2 linked regions of the Macaca fascicularis genome follow. The protein of the gene in region 2 interacts with the protein of the main gene of each other region in a pairwise test. Links are inferred from orthologs where the notes say so. Each region holds a gene or a part of one and is shown on either strand. Other genes may lie near its edges.

What was found.
Region 1: the proteins of BPTF (region 2) and MAZ interact in a two-hybrid assay, tested with the Homo sapiens proteins (2 studies listed by BioGRID). The link is inferred for Macaca fascicularis from reciprocal best matches to the Homo sapiens genes BPTF and MAZ.

What each region holds. Positions count from the first base shown.
Region 1 is NC_088394.1:28,296,802-28,300,754, reverse strand, and holds the start of MAZ (myc-associated zinc finger protein), read left to right. Parts: upstream 1-1,144; 5' UTR 1,145-1,474; coding exon 1,475-1,666; intron 1,667-1,748; coding exon 1,749-2,599; exon of another isoform or gene 2,600-2,994; coding exon 2,995-3,058; intron 3,059-3,196; exon of another isoform or gene 3,197-3,335; coding exon 3,336-3,507; intron 3,508-3,953. Other genes in the region: kinesin-like protein KIF22, read left to right, coding at 31-78. UniProt on the Homo sapiens protein: Transcriptional regulator, potentially with dual roles in transcription initiation and termination.
Region 2 is NC_088390.1:74,343,594-74,347,103, forward strand, and holds part of BPTF (nucleosome-remodeling factor subunit BPTF), read left to right. Parts: intron 1-2,458; coding exon 2,459-2,638; intron 2,639-3,510. UniProt on the Homo sapiens protein: Regulatory subunit of the ATP-dependent NURF-1 and NURF-5 ISWI chromatin remodeling complexes, which form ordered nucleosome arrays on chromatin and facilitate access to DNA during DNA-templated processes such as DNA replication, transcription, and repair.

The DNA.
Region 1 (3,953 bases), on a different chromosome or scaffold from region 2:
GTCGCTGCCCCCCTCCCTCCTGTGTTGCAGGCAAACATCCTGGGTCTCGCCGCCGGCCAGCGCTGTGGCCCCTCCTGACCGTCGTCTCTTCACTTCGCCTTTTTAAATCCTTGTATAACCCCGTGTTGTGTAAATACAGTTTTTTCTCTGGTGCTTCCGCCTGATTTTTGGGGCTGTGGGGGCGGGACCGGGGTGTGACCGCCTCGGGGTGGGCCGCGAGCGAGGCCGGAGACTCCACTGGGCGCCATCTTCGGGCAGCGAGTCAGCGCTGGATTGTAAATAAACAGCTGGAGTGGGGCGGGGAGGACGGTGGCCGGCAGGACGCAAAAAGAGGAAGCCGAAGCATGAGGCCTGCGACCGTTAGGCGGGCGCGCGCTCAGGGATTAGCCCCGCCCCGTCCGTGCCCCCGGCGCGCGCTCCCCCACTCTCCCGCTCGGCAACGGCGGCGGCCTTGTGCGCGTGCGCGCGAAATAACGGCCGCTGGCGGAGGGAGGGGGGTGGAATCGTTGGAGGGGGGAAGAGGAGAGAAGCCGCCCCGTCTCCCGCGCGCCCACCACCTGCGCCATCGTCAGCCAATCAGCAGCCGTCTCAGGGGTCTCGCGCTTGGGGCGACTCGGGCTGCTGGGTGGCTCCCCCGTCCCTCCGCCCGCCAGAGTCCCTCTCGCGCCCGCCCCTCCCGCTGGCCACGCGCGCGCTCGCGCTCGCGCCCGCTCCAGCCTCTTGTGTGTCCTCGCGCCCCCCGCCCGCCCTCCCCGCGCGCAGTGTGCTCCGCTCCCCCCACCCTCCACCTCCCCCCTCCTGCCCGCCCCGCGCGCCTCCTCCCCGGGTTCCCCCTCCCCCACCGCCGCCTCCTCCTCCTCCCGCCCCAGGGTGAGCGCGAGCCACCTCCCTCCCTCCCTCCGCCATGGATCCCAGCAACTGGAGCAGCTTCATCTTCCAGGTAACAACCCCCTCCCCCCGCCCCCACCCCCCTGCCCACACCCCCTCCTGCCCGCCCTCCCTCCCGTCCCACCCCCCCTCCGCGCGCCCGGTGCGCGCGCAGCTGTCCCCCTCCCTCCCTCGCGCCCTCCCCCGCCCTCCCCGAGGCGCCGGCTGGGCGCGCGCGCGGCGGGGGCCGAGGCTGCTCCCTCGCTCCCCCCACCCCGCCCCGCCAGGCTCCAACCGCCGCCGCCGCCGCCGCCGCCGCCGCCGCCGCCCGGGCCCCCGCCCCCGGCCCCGGCCCCGCGGGGCCTCCCGCCCCCACCCAGGGGGCGTCGCCGCCGCCGTCGCCGCGGCGCTCCGCGGCCCGCAAGGCGCCCTCCTTCCCTCCCTCCCTCCCGCCGGCCGGGGTGCGCGGGCGGCGGGGCGGCCCGCGGGCCATGCGTTCGGCGCGGCCCAGCCCGGCCGGCCGGGGGCGGCGCCCCGAGCCCGGGCCCCGCGCGGCCCGCGCCCCCGGCCCCCGCTGAGCCCCGGGGGCCCCGCTGCGGCCGAGGCCATGTTCCCGGTGTTCCCTTGCACGCTGCTGGCCCCCCCCTTCCCCGTGCTGGGCCTGGACTCCCGGGGGGTGGGCGGCCTCATGAACTCCTTCCCGCCACCTCAGGGTCACGCCCAGAACCCCCTGCAGGTCGGGGCTGAGCTCCAGTCCCGCTTCTTTGCCTCCCAGGGCTGCGCCCAGAGTCCATTCCAGGTGAGTAGGGCCGGCCGCGGCGGCCCGGGCTGGGGGGGCGCCCGCCCGCACTCGCGGCCCACTCGGCGCCTTGTTTCCGTAGGCCGCGCCGGCGCCCCCGCCCACGCCCCAGGCCCCGGCGGCCGAGCCCCTCCAGGTGGACTTGCTCCCGGTGCTTGCCGCCGCCCAGGAGTCCGCCGCGGCTGCTGCGGCCGCCGCCGCCGCTGCTGCCGCCGTCGCTGCCGCGCCCCCGGCCCCTGCCGCTGCCTCCACGGTGGACACAGCAGCCCTGAAGCAGCCCCCGGCGCCCCCTCCGCCACCCCCGCCCGTGTCGGCGCCCACGGCCGAGGCCGCGCCCCCCGCCTCCGCCGCCACCATCGCCGCGGCGGCGGCCACCGCTGTCGTAGCCCCAACCTCGACGGTCGCAGTGGCCCCGGTTGCGTCTGCCTTGGAGAAGAAGACAAAGAGCAAGGGGCCCTACATCTGCGCTCTGTGCGCCAAGGAGTTTAAGAACGGCTACAATCTCCGGAGGCACGAAGCCATCCACACGGGAGCCAAGGCCGGCCGGGTCCCCTCGGGTGCTATGAAGATGCCCACCATGGTGCCCCTGAGCCTCCTGAGCGTGCCCCAGCTGAGCGGAGCTGGCGGGGGAGGGGGAGAGGCGGGTGCCGGCGGCGGCGCTGCCGCAGTGGCCGCCGGTGGCGTGGTGACCACGACCGCCTCGGGGAAGCGCATCCGGAAGAACCACGCCTGCGAGATGTGCGGCAAGGCCTTCCGCGACGTCTACCACCTGAACCGACACAAGCTGTCGCACTCGGACGAGAAGCCCTACCAGTGCCCGGTGTGCCAGCAGCGCTTCAAGCGCAAGGACCGCATGAGCTACCACGTGCGCTCACATGACGGCGCTGTGCACAAGCCCTACAACTGCTCCCACTGTGGCAAGAGCTTCTCCCGGTGTGCACGGGGCCTCGGCCGCCCGCTAGGCCGTGGGGAGGGAGGGACGCGACGGAGGTGGCCTGGCCGTTGCTGGCGGGGAGGGAGGCGGCTGCTGAGGTTGGGGAAGGGGAGCCCCTCCCAGGGCGGAGGGAGGAAGCCTCTCCCGGTTACCAGGGAGCAAGGGGTGGTCCTTTGTCAAGGAGGTGGGCCTTGGGGTTGACGGAAGCTAAGCGTGGGAGGAGGCGGCGGCGGCAGCGGCTGGGTTCCAGGGGAGGGATTTCCTGCCGAAGTGGCGCTGTGACGGCCCGGCCTCCGGGAGGAGGCGCAGGGATCCCCGGAAAGGCCTGTGGTGCAGGTTGGCGGATTTGGGGCGCACCACCTGCGCCCTAACCCCAACCCCAACGTGTCCCCAGGCCGGATCACCTCAACAGTCACGTCAGACAAGTGCACTCAACAGAACGGCCCTTCAAATGTGAGGTAGGAAGCCCGCCTCCTCCCGTCCTGGTTTTCATGATTTTGATCCTCATGGTAGTTGTCTGAGTTCAGCCTCTCAGACCCCCTTTTTCTCTCTCTTCTTTTTGCCTTTTCACTCCATTTTCTCATCCCTTTTTCAAGGCCTCATCATGTCACTCCCATTTCCTACAGATCAAAGATCCCCAAGGCTCTGATACCTTTAACCTCTTGCTCCCCCCTCCCCAGCCCGCCAAGCTTTAACTCTCCTGTGACACCCCCCACGCCCCTCCCCCCTCCCCAGAAATGTGAGGCAGCTTTCGCCACGAAGGATCGGCTGCGGGCGCACACAGTTCGACACGAGGAGAAGGTGCCATGTCACGTGTGTGGCAAGATGCTGAGCTCGGCTTATATTTCGGACCACATGAAGGTGCACAGCCAGGGCCCTCACCATGTCTGTGAGCTCTGCAACAAAGGTACATGCCGAGGACTGCCGGGAGGGCCAGGGGCAGAGGGTGGGCGCCTAGCCAGACGCCCTGCCACGGATACGGGCTAAGGGTGCTGTAGCCAAGAGCTCGTGGCGTCTAGAGTCCTCCAAGAGGTCAAGGGAGCAGCGGGGGACACCTGAATTAATGTTGTTAGACTCTTAAGTCCTGGCTGGAGGAGAGATCTGCCAGAGAGGTTGAACCTCCTGGGCATACGTGGGGAGAGCGGGAGTGGAACTTGGCTGCTCTGGGGAAGGGAGTAGTCAAGAAAGCCAGTTCCAAGGGTCACAAGGCAAGGTTTCCGCCGCGCAGCCACAAGGTCTTGTCTCCAGCTCCTGGGGCAGGTGGAGTAGTACACGGGCTGGGATTTACCAGCACGCACCCTGCACGGGTAGCAGAGAAAGCTGCCTTCAGTCAGACTCACCGGTTAACTGGGT
Region 2 (3,510 bases):
GCCAGGAGTTTGAGGTTGCAGTGAGCTACAATTGTGCTGTTGCACTCGAGCATGGATGACAGAGCAAGACTCAATCTCTTAAAAAAAAAAAAATCTTTAATTCAGTACTAATTCACTTCTTGAGGAGTCGTGTATCTGGTAATCTTAGCATTGTTGCACGTAAGAGAAAACCAGAAAGGAAGTGATAGAGGCTTCCAAAACACTGTCACATAAATGAGGTTTTTTTGTGGGGGTTGGGAGGTTGTTTTTTTTGTTTCTGTTTTTGTTTTGTTGAGATGGAATCTCGCTCTGTTGCCAGGCTGGAGTGCAGTAGCGTATCTCGGCTCACTGCAACCTCCGCCTCCCGGGTTCAAGCAATTCTTCTGCCTCAGCCTCCCAAGTAGCTGGCACTACAGGCGCATGCCACCATGCCCAGCTAATTTTTGCATTTTTTGTAGAGATGGGGTTTCACCATGTTGGCCAGGATGGTCTCGATCTCTTTACCTCAAGTGATCTGCCTGCCTTGGCCTTCCAAAGTGCTGGGATTACAGGTGTGAGTCACTGCTCCCAGCCAAATTTTGTCACTCTTGGTTCAGTTGTCACTGACCACTTTTTTAAATTCTGTAGTGTTTTAAAACAAATCCCAGAAATCATGTTTCACCAGAAGTTCAGTATATATCGCTACATAGACATTTTTTCCATAACCATCATGTCATTATCACACTCAACAAATTAACTATAATTAATAAATTAATCATCTGATTTTCAGTCCATATTCCACTTGCCCTAGTTGTCTTAGAGGTACCTTTTTACTGTTAGCAGTAAACCAGGTCCAGGCAAGGCCACACATTGCATTTCCTGATTTTTCTTCAGTCTTTTATTCTGTTATATAAACTTCAAGGAGTCCAAGAACCATTGAAATAGATTACAAAAGTTTATATACATACTTTTTTCCTTGGTAGAGGATCATAGTATTTATCCATTTCTAATAGGGTTCTGTGACACAAAGTATGTTAGAAACCACTAATGTGGACTTTCTGGAATCATCGAACAGATTGTGATAATCCTTTATACACGAGTTTTCTTTCATTATATTTTTGTGTGTGTGTGACAGAGTCTCACTCTGTCAGCCAGGCTGGAGTGCAGTGGCACCATCTCAGCTCGCTGCAAACTCCACCTCCCAGGTTCAAGCAGTTCTCCTGCTTCAGCCTCCCAAGTAGCTGGGACTACAGGCTCGTACCACCACGCCTGGCTAATTTTTGTATTTTTAGTAGAGATGGCGTTTCACCTTGCTGGGCTGGTGTTGAACTCCTGGCCTCAAGTGATCTGCCTGCCTCAGCCTCCCAAAGTGCTGGGATTACAGGCATGAGCCACCACACCCACCCAAATTTTATCACTTTTGTTTCAGTTATCACCACTTTTTTTTTGTTGAGATGGAGTCTCATTCTGTTACCCAGGCTGGAGTGCAGTGGTACGATCTCAGTTCACTGCAACCTCCACCTCCCAGGTTTCAGCGATTCTCCTGCCTCATCCTCCTGAGTAGGGATCACAGGTGTGCACCACCATGCCTGGCTAATTTTTCTATTTTTAATAGAGACGGGGTTTCACCATGTTGGCTAGGCTAGTCTTGAACTCCTTGTCCTCAAGTGATCCACCTGCCTTTGCCTCCCAAAGTGCTAGGATTACAGGCATGAGCTACCACACCCATCCAAATTTTATCACTCTTGTTTCAGTTGTCACTGACCGCTTATTTTTTTTAAGACGTAGTCTCGTTCTGTCACCCAGGCTGGAGTGCAGTGGCATGACCTCAGCTCGCTGCAGCCTCCGCCTCCTAGGTTCAAGCAATTCTCCTGCCTCAGCTTCCTGAGTAGCTGGGATCACAGGTGCGCACCACCACGCCCAGATAATTTTTGTATTTTTAGTAGAGATGGGGTTTCACCATGTTAGCCAGGCGGGTCTGAAACTCCTGACCTCAGGTGATCCACCCACCTCTGCCCCGCATAGTGCTGGGATTATAGGCATGAGTCACCACGCCACCCTGTAGCATTAATGTTTATCTTGTAGCTATGTTACTGAATTAACAATTTTTTTTTTTTGGACGCAGAGCCTCACTCTGTCACCCAGGCTGGAGTAGAGTGGCATGAGCCTCTGCACCAGGTCCACTTTTTTTTTTTTTTTTTTTTTAATCCTGCAGTGTTTTAAATCAAATTTCATAAATCATGTTTCACCAAAAATGTTTGTACAAAGTTTTCTGAAATGTCTGAAATTCAGTCATTCTTTCTATGTTTTAGGTCAGCCAGGCATATAGGATTATATGGTACCTTATACTCAATAAGACCTTTGTCCTTTTTTTTTTTTTTTTAATGAAAAAATGAAACATAACTTGCTGGAAAATACTTGTTTGTTTTCACTAAACTTGACATATTAAAGTACTAATACTGGAAATAACGTTAATTATGCTATACACGGTTCTTTTTAGCCAAAAATAATATGGATGAAAATATGGATGAGTCAGATAAAAGAAAATGTTCACGAAGTCCCAAAAAAATAAAAACAGAGCCTGATTCTGAAAAAGATGAGGTAAAAGATTCAGATGCTGCAAAAGGAGCAGACCAAAGTGAAATGGATATCTCAAAGATTACTGAGAAGAAGGACCAAGGTAAGGAGAGTCAGCTGTGGAGGGCAGCCTGGGGGTGATAAGAATGCAGTGGATCGGGGTCCCACCACAGGAAAGGTACTGCGTTGTGTTTTCTTGATAATAGCTTTATTAAAATGTAATTCATATCCCATACAATTCACCCAATTAAAGTGTAAATTCAGTGGTTTTTAGTATAGTCACAAAGTTCAACCATTATCACGTCAATCTTAGAACATTTTCATAACCTTGAAAAGAAGCCTCATTCATACCCATTAGCAGTTACTTACCAATCCTTCCCCAAAGTGCCGCCAGCTTAGCGGTCTTCTTTCTGTCTCTCTGGATTTGCCTATTTTGGACAGTCCATAGAAATGGAATCAGGCAATATGTGGTCCTTTGTGGCTGGCTTCATCCACTTAGCATGTTTTTAAGGTTCATCCATGTTGTAGCATGTATCAGTACTTTCTTTCTATTTCTGAATAATACTCTGTATGGATATGCCACATTTTGTTATCCATTCATCAGTTGATGGACATTGGGCCGTTTCCTCTTTTGGCTATTATGAATAATGCTGCTATGAACATTCATGCAGAAGTTTTTTGTGGCCAAGCGTTTTCACTTCTCTTGGAGATATACCTAGAAATGGAATTACTGGATCATATGGTAACTCTGTTTAACCTTTTGAGGAACTACATTGTCTTTTGTAACAAGTCATTTTTTAAAAAACTAAATAAGCTAAATAATGCATGTGGCTAGAGATACGTTATAACTGTAAAAGTCTATACAAAATATTACATGAAGGTACTAGCGTGTGCAGTAGCCTGCCACATACTAAGTACTTTTTCATTATGGCATTCCATCGTTTTTAGATACTAAGGATCAGAATATTTAATTAT